2 linked regions of the Arabidopsis thaliana genome follow. The protein of the gene in region 2 interacts with the protein of the main gene of each other region in a biochemical or structural test. Each region holds a gene or a part of one and is shown on either strand. Other genes may lie near its edges. The genes, in order: CIPK1 and ECT1.

Region 1 (6,787 bases), 5.0 Mb from region 2:
TCTTAAATGTTATGAGAATCAGACAATCTATTGGCTAGCTATGAGCATTAACATGAGTTTTGGCACGAAATTTGTTATGAAAAAACAAAACTTCTCCTTTTAAATACTTCATTAATTGTTTACCATTACCATTGTTGATTTGGTACATATGATTTCTCGTTCCATCTTGGGTTAATATCTCTTTAATTAATATGTTTTAGGGTTATTGGGCTCGTATATGTAGTGAGAGACTCTACATAGGAAGCTAGAGTTGTAACACGTAGAATCAAAGGCTAATATTAATGTTTCTTAATCAATGGTTAATATCTCTTTAGTTTAACATTAAAAGAGCACGAGCAAAAGAATATAACAAGAGAAAATTGTGGTATAAAATATTTGCTTGAGAAAGTTTATATAACCACGAACGAGTTACTCTTTTATTTATTTAAATTTATATATATAACACACCTAGTCATCTACACACAAAAGAGAGAGAGAGAGAGGTTCTGATAACATAGATCAATCAATATGTTACTCACTGCCGGCAGCAATACTATCACCGGCCATTTTGACACGTTTGAGAGACTCGAATAATTTTAATTATTGGTTTTTTCTCCTTTTCTATATAGTATCTATTCATTTCAGCCACATCATTTACTAACTACAAATTTTAATAAAAACCTTGGGAAAAAGATGTGTAGAGAAACATGTGACATATGACCTTTTCATTACCAAAAATATGTTGGGACGACTGACGAGAGCTAAGAACCACTACATTCTTCAATAATCTATGTATCCAATAAAAAGATATAATATGGAGTTTTCCAAATTCAAGAGATTAGCCTGGTGCCCAGGCCCTGGTTTATTGAAACTTTTGGATTCTCAAAAACAATTTATTTATTTTAATTAAATACACAAACCGCATAAGAAAAACAAATATAAATTGAATGGTTCCATGTGATTTAATTAATTGTGAGCCGACAAAGGACGAGACATGAAATATAGTATAAATTACCATAGTTTTTTTTAAAAAATATTAACTTTAAGTGTATCATTAACGATTGTGTTTCTAAACGCTTGCCTATATTGCGAATTAAAAATTTGTAAAAGTCTACAACTAATATTATTAGTCTACAAAGACAGAAACAATATAAAACTGAAAGCACCATGTTTATTTCCCCCCAAACCGAAAGCACTATCGTAAAAAAGTGTTTTAAATCTAATTATCAATTCATGCACGATATCGACGTATATAAATGGTTTATTACCAAATTATCTCTTAAACTGAAAATGCCACGACAATGAAGACCTACTGTCTATGAAACCAAGTCATAAGTTCAAAATTTCCATAGAAACGAATGGGTTATGAACGCGTTGTTTAATTTGTTGTAGTGTGTATATATAACTTGATCTTAAGTTTAGGTCTCTTTTGATCTCCTCTTTTATAACAAAGGTACAAAACTAAACTGTAACTTTAAGAAATCATAGTTGGACTTCAACTTTTAAGTAACTCCAACATGAAAACTTGGAAAGTATGTGATTCCTTGTGAACTTTTATGTGTATACAAGTTTGTTTCTACATTTAAGAACTAAAATCCGAAAGCCAAATCAAAACTGCTCCAGTAACAAGAACTATAAAACTGCAAGCACCAATCTTTTTGTAGCGTTTCTTTCTGACTTTAAACCAAAAGTTCTTATGAATATATTTTTTCATCTATTATTATTTAATTTCAACATAAAACTAATGCAACAAATGACGTGGGCCTATTGATGCATACAAGTACACACATAAAATACACACATATTCGCAATATACATCATATATAGAATTATTCTGATAAATCAATATACTCTTTGCGTATATTTTCCATATTTTGATTGTTGACAGAAATAAGATCCTTTTTAAATTTCTCCTTATAATGAACATAGACATAATTTCATTTGATAGGAGTTTTATTTGACCAATAATAATAAATCTCGATAAGTACCCTACTAAAAAAATCTTATTTCGATAATATCAAATCTTATATGGTTTGTTAGATTAATCTTTTTCTTTTGTGAAGATTAATATGTTTCTAGTTATCCAATAAAAATCTGGCTAACAAAAACCAAAAAAAAATAGTTAACGAGGAATATATATATAAAAAGAAGTGAATATAATAAGAAGAGAAGAGGAAACAAAGAGAAGTAGCGTCCTCTCTTCAATTTCAACCGGCACTTTCTTCTCTTCTTCTTCTTCTTCCCAATCTTCCTCGTCTCTTTACCTACACCTATATATATATATATATATATATCTCCTTCCCTCACACACATACCTGCACAGCTACAATAATCTACTTCCCCTCTTTCAATAACGGAATTAATAGTAATCTAATCGGAAGATTCAAGCGAGAAATCGATTTGGTTGTCTGTTAATTTGTTGGGAAATAAATTGAAATAGGAGATTGATTGGATGGTGAGAAGGCAAGAGGAGGAGAAGAAGGCGGAGAAGGGAATGCGTCTGGGGAAATACGAGCTAGGGAGGACGCTCGGCGAGGGTAATTTCGGTAAAGTTAAATTCGCTAAAGATACCGTCTCCGGTCATTCCTTCGCCGTTAAAATCATCGACAAGTCTCGTATCGCCGATCTCAACTTCTCCTTACAGGTTCCCATCTCTCTATCATCATTTCTAATTTTTTTCTTTTCTCTTCTTTTACTAAATTTGTAATTTGACAGATCCAATTCTTATGAATCTGTGCAGATAAAAAGAGAGATCCGGACTCTGAAAATGTTGAAACATCCCCACATTGTTAGATTACATGAGGTCCGTATCTTAAATTTTTGTGTATAATCATCTTTGGATTATCGAAATGATTCTGTGATTAGGAAGTAAAAAGGTTTATTGCTTAATTAGTATAACAATTTTTGATTATTCTTCTGTTTGCTTGTTTCTGTTTATTTAGTATATACCTGAGTATGACAGAAAGTGATCGAATTATTGCCTGCTTATGGATGGTTATTCAAATTTTGATTCGTCATTTTAGATTGTTAGATTAGGTTTAGTAAACTATTTTTAGTTAATTTCTTCATTGTTGTTTCTTTATCTATCAAAATGGAGCTGACGAGGATTAAAAACACCTCAAATCTTGGATAATTGTTGTTTGCTTTTTGGATCTTTTTTTTTACTGTTTAGGAATATTCTTACAAGTCATTTGGTTTCGTACCCAAACATGTTTCATTTAGCTTGTTTTTCACGTTGCCAATTAGCCGCATCATTTTACATAATTATTAAGTTAATTATTCCATTATTTGATATGGTGGCTTGGCCGGTAACACAAATCTGACCTGTTCAATTCAAAGGTGGGGTCCTAAAAAAAATTATCGTGAAAAATGCAGGATATGTCGCTTGATCATCATATAATTGCTTAATCTTAGTACCCTTTTAAGCTTTTTATCATGTGGACCCTCTTTGATCTTATGCTTAGTTTTACTTTTTATTTTATTTTATTCATATAGTATTATTTCAGATGATTATTGTATGGGTCATTGCTTGCTGTATCTTTGCGTTTTATTGTTGACTTCTAATTATTTCGATTGCTTCTTCCTCTTTGCCATTTAACACGAGATTAATCGTGACTTTTGGTTAAGCAACCATTGTGGATCTTCACTTATTTGATACACGTGGTCCACTTTTTAAGCTCGTGACTAACTTTGTCGTGTCTTGGACAACTAAGTGTTTTTTATGTAATCTGTGGATATGAATGCAATTCGAATTCTAAATGTTTCTTTTTCTTTCTTGTGACTAATCTTTTGGATTCTCAAACATGAAACATCTTACCTCAGAACTCACTGTTCCTTTACCTTGAAACTAATGGCCTCTTCCTTATGGTAATCATGCAGGTCTTGGCTAGCAAAACGAAAATTAATATGGTAATGGAACTTGTTACCGGAGGAGAATTGTTCGACAGAATTGTAAGACTCTTACTAGCCTCTATGCTCAAAGCAAAAAAGATTTTTTTTCTTTTTTTGACGAGTGTCATTTTTGCTAAACTCACACTTTGATGATAACTCTCAGGTTTCCAACGGAAAATTAACAGAAACTGATGGAAGAAAAATGTTTCAGCAGCTTATCGATGGAATCAGCTACTGTCATAGCAAAGGTGTTTTCCACAGGGATCTCAAGGTCTGTGATTCTCTCACTGTGTTTCAAACCATGGAAACCTTATGGAATAGTGTACTGATGTTTTTCTATATTGCAGCTAGAGAATGTTCTTCTTGATGCAAAGGGACATATAAAGATCACTGATTTTGGCCTCAGTGCTCTGCCTCAGCATTTTAGGGTACTTGAAAATATCATCTTAAAACCATAGCATATCACAGCAGAATTATAATTGTTGAATCCGTTCGAGTTACAACTAATTTTCTCTTTGGCATTTTAGGATGACGGATTGTTGCATACAACCTGTGGAAGTCCTAATTACGTTGCGCCTGAGGTTTTAGCTAACAGAGGCTACGATGGTGCAGCATCAGACATATGGTCCTGTGGTGTAATCTTGTATGTGATTCTAACCGGATGTCTTCCTTTCGACGACAGAAACCTTGCAGTTCTTTACCAGAAGGTAAACCTCATTTTTTCTTATATATATGCCAATTCAATACACATTTTGAAGAAATAAGCTTGATAATTGATTTGATTTCTAGATATGTAAAGGAGACCCACCAATACCAAGATGGTTATCCCCGGGTGCAAGAACCATGATTAAGAGAATGCTTGATCCAAATCCAGTCACGAGGATCACAGTTGTGGGTATTAAAGCCAGCGAGTGGTTCAAACTTGAGTACATTCCTTCAATTCCCGATGATGATGACGAAGAAGAAGTTGACACAGACGATGATGCTTTCTCAATCCAAGAACTCGTAAGAATCTGCCACCCTTACTCTCTATCGCAACTGCATTTGAGTCAAGTACAATGTCCTCATTTCTCTGTCTCTCTTTTGAATGGTCTAGGGATCAGAAGAAGGGAAGGGCAGTGATTCACCGACCATCATCAATGCGTTTCAGTTAATCGGAATGTCTTCCTTTCTTGACCTGTCCGGTTTCTTTGAACAAGAGGTAACTAATCTTCTAATACTCTGTTTCAAAGATCTGCTCTCTGCTTGAGCCAATGTATAATAAAAAGGAGTTATACTTTTACTTTCTCAGAATGTATCAGAGAGGAGAATAAGATTCACTTCAAATAGCTCAGCAAAAGATTTACTGGAGAAAATCGAAACAGCCGTTACAGAAATGGGATTCAGTGTACAAAAGAAACATGCCAAGGTGGGTCTTCACAACATGGTCTTCCTCTTCCTTAGCAACTTGGAATTTCAAATCTGTAGGTTTATAAACTTTAAACTGTATTTTGTTTCAGTTAAGAGTAAAACAAGAAGAAAGAAACCAGAAAGGTCAAGTTGGTTTATCAGTAACAGCTGAGGTATATTAACTATTACGTAAACATTATTTCACTGTTCAATAGACTATTTAGTGAGATTATTTGACTAATAGAAGAAATTCTTATGATATCAGGTTTTCGAGATAAAGCCGTCACTGAACGTGGTTGAGCTAAGAAAATCTTATGGCGATTCATGTTTATATAGACAGGTATGCCACTATTGTCATTTCTTAATTAGACTGAAGAAACACATATCAAAGATAAAAATGTTTATGTTTGATATTGGGGTTGGTGCAGTTGTACGAGAGACTATTAAAAGACGTGGGCACATCCTCGCCGGAGCAAGAGATAGTAACTTAGGTGTTGGTGTTTTCGGCTGAAGAGATATACATAGCTCTAATAATTTATCATATGGAACACACCATCCATGTTCATATAATTTATTATCTTAAGTATATATAAAAGGAGCTCGATTTATATGATTAGTGCAAATAGTAATTGCATTTAAGTATAAACCGTGGCGTAGATCTTTCCTCAAGAATTAGAGATTTTATTCACTACCTTTGTATTTGTTTTTATTATTATTTGGTGTGGCAAATCTGCCTACTAGCAAAAAAGATCCCATAAAAAATCTCTTCATTATTTTTGTAAATAATATACATGTGTTTAGTTTGTATCTGTACATCATTCAATTCCGCACCAACCGATCTACGTATATAAATTTTTAGTATTATGCTATGTTGCTTTCGTCTCATAAAATACTCTCAAGAGTCATGAGTCATGTGACCTATCAACATTTAGCGTCCTGGAATGTAACAATTGTAGTTTTAAAGTTAGTCAAATTCACAACTTGTTCTTGTTTTAGTTGGAACTTGAATGTAGTGCAAATAAGCCAGGAATCAAAATAATATATCTAGTCATAGATTAATCAAACGATTTTACTACAAAAACGCAAAAACGAATAAACAAAAAAAGGAGATTGAAGAAATTACGTCCTTACCTGTATCGACTAATACTGAACCAAACTTGGAACATAATTGAAAATAAAACGGCTCACATGAGTTCATAAAAGGAATGAACTTAGGCCATTCGCCAAAATGGATTTCTGTGTATTCACGGTCCTCCCCAACAATGTATACAAGGTTCTTGCTCGCAAGTCTGTTACTTGTCTCACAACCCACATAGCAAGGCCATTCCTTTCTCCTTGTCGATGAAGAAACTGTCATACGATAACATAGCACGACCACCAATGTCTACATCTACCGTAAAGAATTTGCTCCACTGCACTTCTTTAGTATCAATCTTATCAGTTATCCATACATCCACCTTTGATGCACGACAACGCTGAAGTACCAATGATAGTTGTTCTTATCTAACAACTGATAGAGCTGTAGTTT
Region 2 (5,267 bases):
TCACCTTTACAGTAACAGATCAAGCTTGCTTAAACTATACACAAGCGAGATCCTACTTACAACACTCAAGTAAAAGTAAAACGAAACGGAGAAAACGAGATTCATCATTTCAGTATTAGATCAAATCCCAATCAGAGAAACATTACGAACCATTGGGACCGAGAGAGGTGCGAGTAATGGTGGAGAGCTCCTTGCAAGCTTCAATGTTCTTAATGACGGCTTCGTCGAGACCAGAGAGATGCCTGTAACCTTCTTTAAGCATCGATTGAATACCATATGGCTGCATCGACATACCCACCATTTTCTAAGGTAACGATCTATAAGCTTCGAAGTTGGGTCACTCGAAACAATAGAGCAAAAACCCTAAAAGCGAAGAAGAAGAAGCTCTGTGAGATTTTCGAAGAAGTTTAGAGAGAAGGTTTTCTGTGAGTAAAAGTGGCCGAGATTGCCCTAGAAAACTTTCGAGGTTTTAAAATGGGAGTTCACAACGGTGTCGTTTTAAATTTTAAGGGGATGGGGGCCAAAAATTGAGATCTTAAATCTTTAGGGGTGAAAGTTGTATTATATGAAAGTTTAGGGACGAATAGAGAACACCATTCCTTCTGGTTTTTGTGCTAAACGGTGTCGTTTTAACTTTTATGGTGATGTGGGCCAAAATGTGAGATTTTTGACATTTACGGATGAGAGTCTTATTATATGAAAGTTTAGGGACTAAAAGAGAAATAACTTGAAAATAACATGATATGAACTTTGAAGGAAAGCCTGAGTTTTTGTTTTATCAGATGTGCGTCCCCTTAAGAGGAACAAAAGACAATGTAAGTTTTGTTTAGATAAGCAGAGAAAACACACAGATTAAAGATGTGTATTAGGTTTTTAGAAATCCCAACCCTGAAGAAAAAACATAATTCAAAACTAAGTTCTTTTAATTAAGTCATCTTCTTCTTTCCTTGCATTGATTCCATCTTTCAACTCAAGTTAATTGTTTCCCCCGAAGCTCCATCAAGGGCCTAATATAACAAAACAATCAAAATGAAACAATCCCAGAGACTGTATCAAGAGGGGTGGTTAATGTGCTTTAGATGCAGCAGGGTTTAAGGAATTGTACCTGTTTCTTTTGCTTGATCTTCTTGTCTCTGATGATCTTCTGCCTTGTCTCATAGAACTTGTAATCATCAAGTATACATGTCTTGCTCATATACTCCTTGAAGATCTTTATGATCTTGGTCCCATGCTCCAGATTCACCTGTACCAAAACCATCACCGTACAGTTTAAAAGCCTGACTAACAGCCATAATCATTATTTATTAGAATTCAATTAGGCTTCAAACATGTCCAAGAAAGGGTTTAGGGGAAGTTCAACGGACCTCTTGAGTGTCTCTGCTATTAGTGACAGGCTTGTTCTCGTTATTCGCCAGGGTAATGTGTCTTAAGAGACTGTTTGGTATGTCTTTGATGATATGCCACTTCACAGGGAAACAACCAATCCATTTATCTTGCTGCCAATACTCCATTGTCTTGTTGAAATCAACAGGGCCTACCATCTCCGCAAGACCAACAAATTGCCCACTTGCATTCACCTGTAGATAAAACCGATTACAGTGAGTTACTTAATGTAAATCTGAAAGGATATTGCACAAGACGTGAAGTAACCTCATACTGACCGAGAACAGAAGATACACAGGGCATTCTTGGGAGTTTTCTTTGGCTTCATAATATGCAGCATTCAACTTCTTGTTGCCAGTTGGTGTGCTCGACCATGCACCATACTTAATACAGTTATGAACATCATCTTCGCTGTATGACTTGATCACAAAGAATTTTGCTTTCACAAATGATTCAGGGAAATTCTCCCCATTGTAGCGCTGGAGATCTACTGCTGAAACGTCTTGCTTCATTGCATCTAGCATTGAAGAGTTAAGAACTTGTGGATTCTTGAAATCACTACTCCTTGGTCCTCGACATAGCTCATTAAGCCTATCTGCTTTCTCATCACTGTAACCACGCCCATGATTGAAGCTTCTGGTCTTTCTATAACCATCAACGGGATACCATCCTCGCCCAAGTTTCCAGGAATCATAACCAAAAGTTCCATATGCATGACCAGAGTCAATTACATTCCCGTAAAGTCCATACAATCCATGGTTGGAATACAAATGATCATTATATCCCAATTGGTCAAAACTTGGTACTTCTTGTGAGCTGTGTGGATTCTGTTAAATAAAACAGTTGTAGCCAGTAATTAGACAAAAAAAAAATCCCAAGTCCCAGCAGAGATGACGAAGAGAACAAAACACACATTCTCTTGACTATATGAAGACAGAAAAGAGGCAGAGAGGTCATGTGAAGTAACCAACATACCATGAGATGTGAAAAGGAACTGTGATTGCTGTTGCGGTCATAACCAAACCTCGGATCAGGGTAGCCACCAGAAGGATAGTTTGCTGGGATGTAACCCCACGGGTATGAACCAATCGAGTCTCCACCATTTAGCAGATTGCCAGCATTCATGTTTGGCCTTCTTTCACTTCCATGAGAAGATGCACCATAAGGTGCATGACCATACGGATGCTGAAAAGAACCCTTCTCAGAAAACAGTCAGTTAACAAAAAAAAAACTCACAGTATATCAAATTCACATTAAATGAGCAGCAAGACCTCTCCACAGAACAGTTTGTAGTTAAAGATCCTTCGACACAACACAATTTAAGTTCCAAAAACTTTAAATTTTCAAAAAGAAGTAGTAATTAAGTACCTTAGTAAAGTTCATAGGAACTTCATTTGCATCTGAACCTAAAGACAAGTCCTGAAACAAATCTGCTGTATCTGCAGCGATTATATACAAGAGCCCAGTTAATATTTTAAAATGACAAAGCCTCAAACTCCAATTGCACAGTCTAAACAAGGCAAATTACTGGTGAAATTCAACCCATAAGCAGATAAAAAAACACTAACTTGCAGAAAAACACAAAATTTCATCTAGCATCCCATAAAGAGGTTTGTAGAGAACTCTAGACACCAATCAATCCTATCAGAAACAGAAAACCTACGACAGATACTGATAACACTAGTCGCTAAACCCTAAACCCAAGGGTAGAAATCAATCGCAAGTTATAAGATGAGCACAAAATGATAACTTCCGATGCCAAAAAAGTTTTAATCTTTGAGCTAAAAGCAACGTACCCAGAAGAGGGAAGCTAGTGACGAGACGATCAGAAGAAGCGGCTCCAGCCATATCGAGAGAAGGCAAAAAAAAGGGATAAGCTTTAAGAGAAGGAAAACCCTAGAAGGTTGGGCAGATGAAAGCAAACGCAACCTCGAAAAACCCAGAGAGAGAGAGCGCTTTTGGTGTGTGGGGGGTTTTAGAAAGTTCCGTTCTTTTTTGTTTTCTTCGTCTTCCTTCCCCTTTAACGTAAGGCGGTGATCTTTAACAAAGAACAGAAATGCCCCCAAATGGGTCAAATTTACGAGGAATTCTAAGCGACAAATTTCGATTTTTTTGCTCCTTTAACCCAAAAAGATAAGGCTCCTCTTCTTAATGACGATTTTTCGTCACACGAGAAGATTCTGAAAATTTGACGTTGATTGCTTTTATTAGTGAGACCTCTTTTTCTTCTTAACTTAAAATCAATATAGCGAATCAGTAAAGCTTAACTACACTTTTAGGACTTTTGCTTAAGAGAAATTATCATGAATTCCATTTGTTTAGGAAGTACTAACCATGGTGATGTTTGTTAATTGTAACATACACATACAAAAGGAGTGGTGGTTGGGATATATTAAAACTTTGCTAATCATTCGCGAGAAATTTACAAATATGGTTTTCATATTGACAACATTAAAATATGAAAATCCGTTAATTTTGAATTCAACTCAAGAAAACTTTTACAAATTTTAGGCCAAAAATTATATATAAAATGATCGGTCGCAAACATGGGTTTTCTTGGCTAGGACAAAAAATTGAGTGTGTATGTGATTAGACTCCGTAAGCTAATCAACACACCATATCTATCGGTATCGCATCTAAAATTATTCCTTCATTGCACATATGTAAAAGGGATGATGCTTCATAAACGAGTCTTAGATGGCTTCAAAGATGATTCCAAGGGGATACGAACCTTATGTTAGGCATCGATCCATAATTTTGCTTCTTACCTAAACTTCTATAAAAAAAGAAAGGTAGGCCTTGAACTGGTGATATATTTTAATTTCTGTGGATTTTCTAACATAAGTAGGTGTATGAGAAAAATAAAATCTTAGGTTGATTTGTGGGGTTACTAGTATTGTGGTCTCACATACAACAAAAATAGTAGACAAATTCAAGTCATGTTTAAAATAATAATTAATTCAAATTATTTATGGTGAATTGGAAAACGTTTTTTAAATTTTTATATAAATAAACTCAAAATCTTTAGAGTTTGGTTTCTGCTATGTATAGCTTTTCAAAAGTTATTTAACTTGTGCTCGTGATGGATTCTCAAATATAAATAGCATTAAATTATTTTTGGCAAACATCACATGGAGTTGCACAAAACTGATCAATATGTTTATCCTTTGTCTCACATGTTCTCTCATTCATTAGTTGTATGAGGCGGTAAGGACAACATCATCCTCAAGGCCGGAAAAAACTCAAAAACATTCCCAACAACTTAATTCCACATACAGTATATGCACCATTAAATTGGTGTTAGATGCAACAATTTTATTTTTGCAACCAGATTTTTAACCACTTTAAAAACACTCACTAGAGAAGAAATATATATAAGATATTAAGTAAACACATGATAACTTTGAAGTCTTTCTATGCCATCTCACTCGACTGATATTAGAGTTAAATATATTTATTCTAAGCATGTTTTAAATAATTTGATTGCCTAGAATTTATAGCCAAACAATATGAAATGTACTTGAATCTTACGTTTTTTTTTTAATAATCACTTGACATATTAATTCCAAATCATTGACTTCTAATACAAATATACAAAGCCATTATGCATACAGCGCGATGTGCTTCACCGATCTCCATGAATTAATGGATTTTGTGACATACGATTTGTTGTCAACAAAAAGAAACAAGTTCCTCTTTCTTTTTTTTCATTGTTTCAAAACAAATCGAGTGAAAATTTATGTGATAAATGTGCTTACACGTATGACATAACAAAGCATTTTCTTAATTAAGTTTTCTTCATATAACATTTTAGAATATTTCTATGAACAAATATCTGTACAAAAAAAAAGGCACGCGAGGAACCCAAAGCGGAACAGCGATAG

The links.
Region 1: the proteins of ECT1 (region 2) and CIPK1 form a complex in vitro, tested with the Arabidopsis thaliana proteins (one study listed by BioGRID).

Annotation. Positions count from the first base shown.
Region 1 is NC_003074.8:5,988,272-5,995,058, reverse strand, and holds CIPK1 (CBL-interacting protein kinase 1), read left to right. Parts: upstream 1-2,057; 5' UTR 2,058-2,431; coding exon 2,432-2,623; intron 2,624-2,719; coding exon 2,720-2,782; intron 2,783-2,980; exon of another isoform or gene 2,981-3,843; coding exon of another isoform or gene 3,844-3,858; coding exon 3,859-3,930; intron 3,931-4,033; coding exon 4,034-4,141; intron 4,142-4,217; coding exon 4,218-4,298; intron 4,299-4,397; coding exon 4,398-4,577; intron 4,578-4,659; coding exon 4,660-4,875; intron 4,876-4,966; coding exon 4,967-5,071; intron 5,072-5,161; coding exon 5,162-5,278; intron 5,279-5,369; coding exon 5,370-5,432; intron 5,433-5,524; coding exon 5,525-5,599; intron 5,600-5,687; coding exon 5,688-5,750; 3' UTR 5,751-6,135; downstream 6,136-6,787. Other genes in the region: AT3G17500 (F-box family protein), read right to left, coding at 6,561-6,757. UniProt on the Arabidopsis thaliana protein: CIPK serine-threonine protein kinases interact with CBL proteins. Binding of a CBL protein to the regulatory NAF domain of CIPK protein lead to the activation of the kinase in a calcium-dependent manner.
Region 2 is NC_003074.8:1,019,466-1,024,732, reverse strand, and holds ECT1 (evolutionarily conserved C-terminal region 1), read right to left. Parts: upstream 3,588-5,267; 5' UTR 3,232-3,587; coding exon 3,180-3,231; intron 2,823-3,179; coding exon 2,752-2,822; intron 2,581-2,751; coding exon 2,359-2,580; intron 2,211-2,358; coding exon 1,662-2,210; intron 1,578-1,661; coding exon 1,365-1,577; intron 1,244-1,364; coding exon 1,106-1,243; intron 1,008-1,105; coding exon 966-1,007; 3' UTR 718-965; downstream 1-717. Other genes in the region: AT3G03960 (TCP-1/cpn60 chaperonin family protein), read right to left, coding at 151-301. UniProt on the Arabidopsis thaliana protein: Specifically recognizes and binds N6-methyladenosine (m6A)-containing RNAs, and regulates mRNA stability. M6A is a modification present at internal sites of mRNAs and some non-coding RNAs and plays a role in mRNA stability and processing.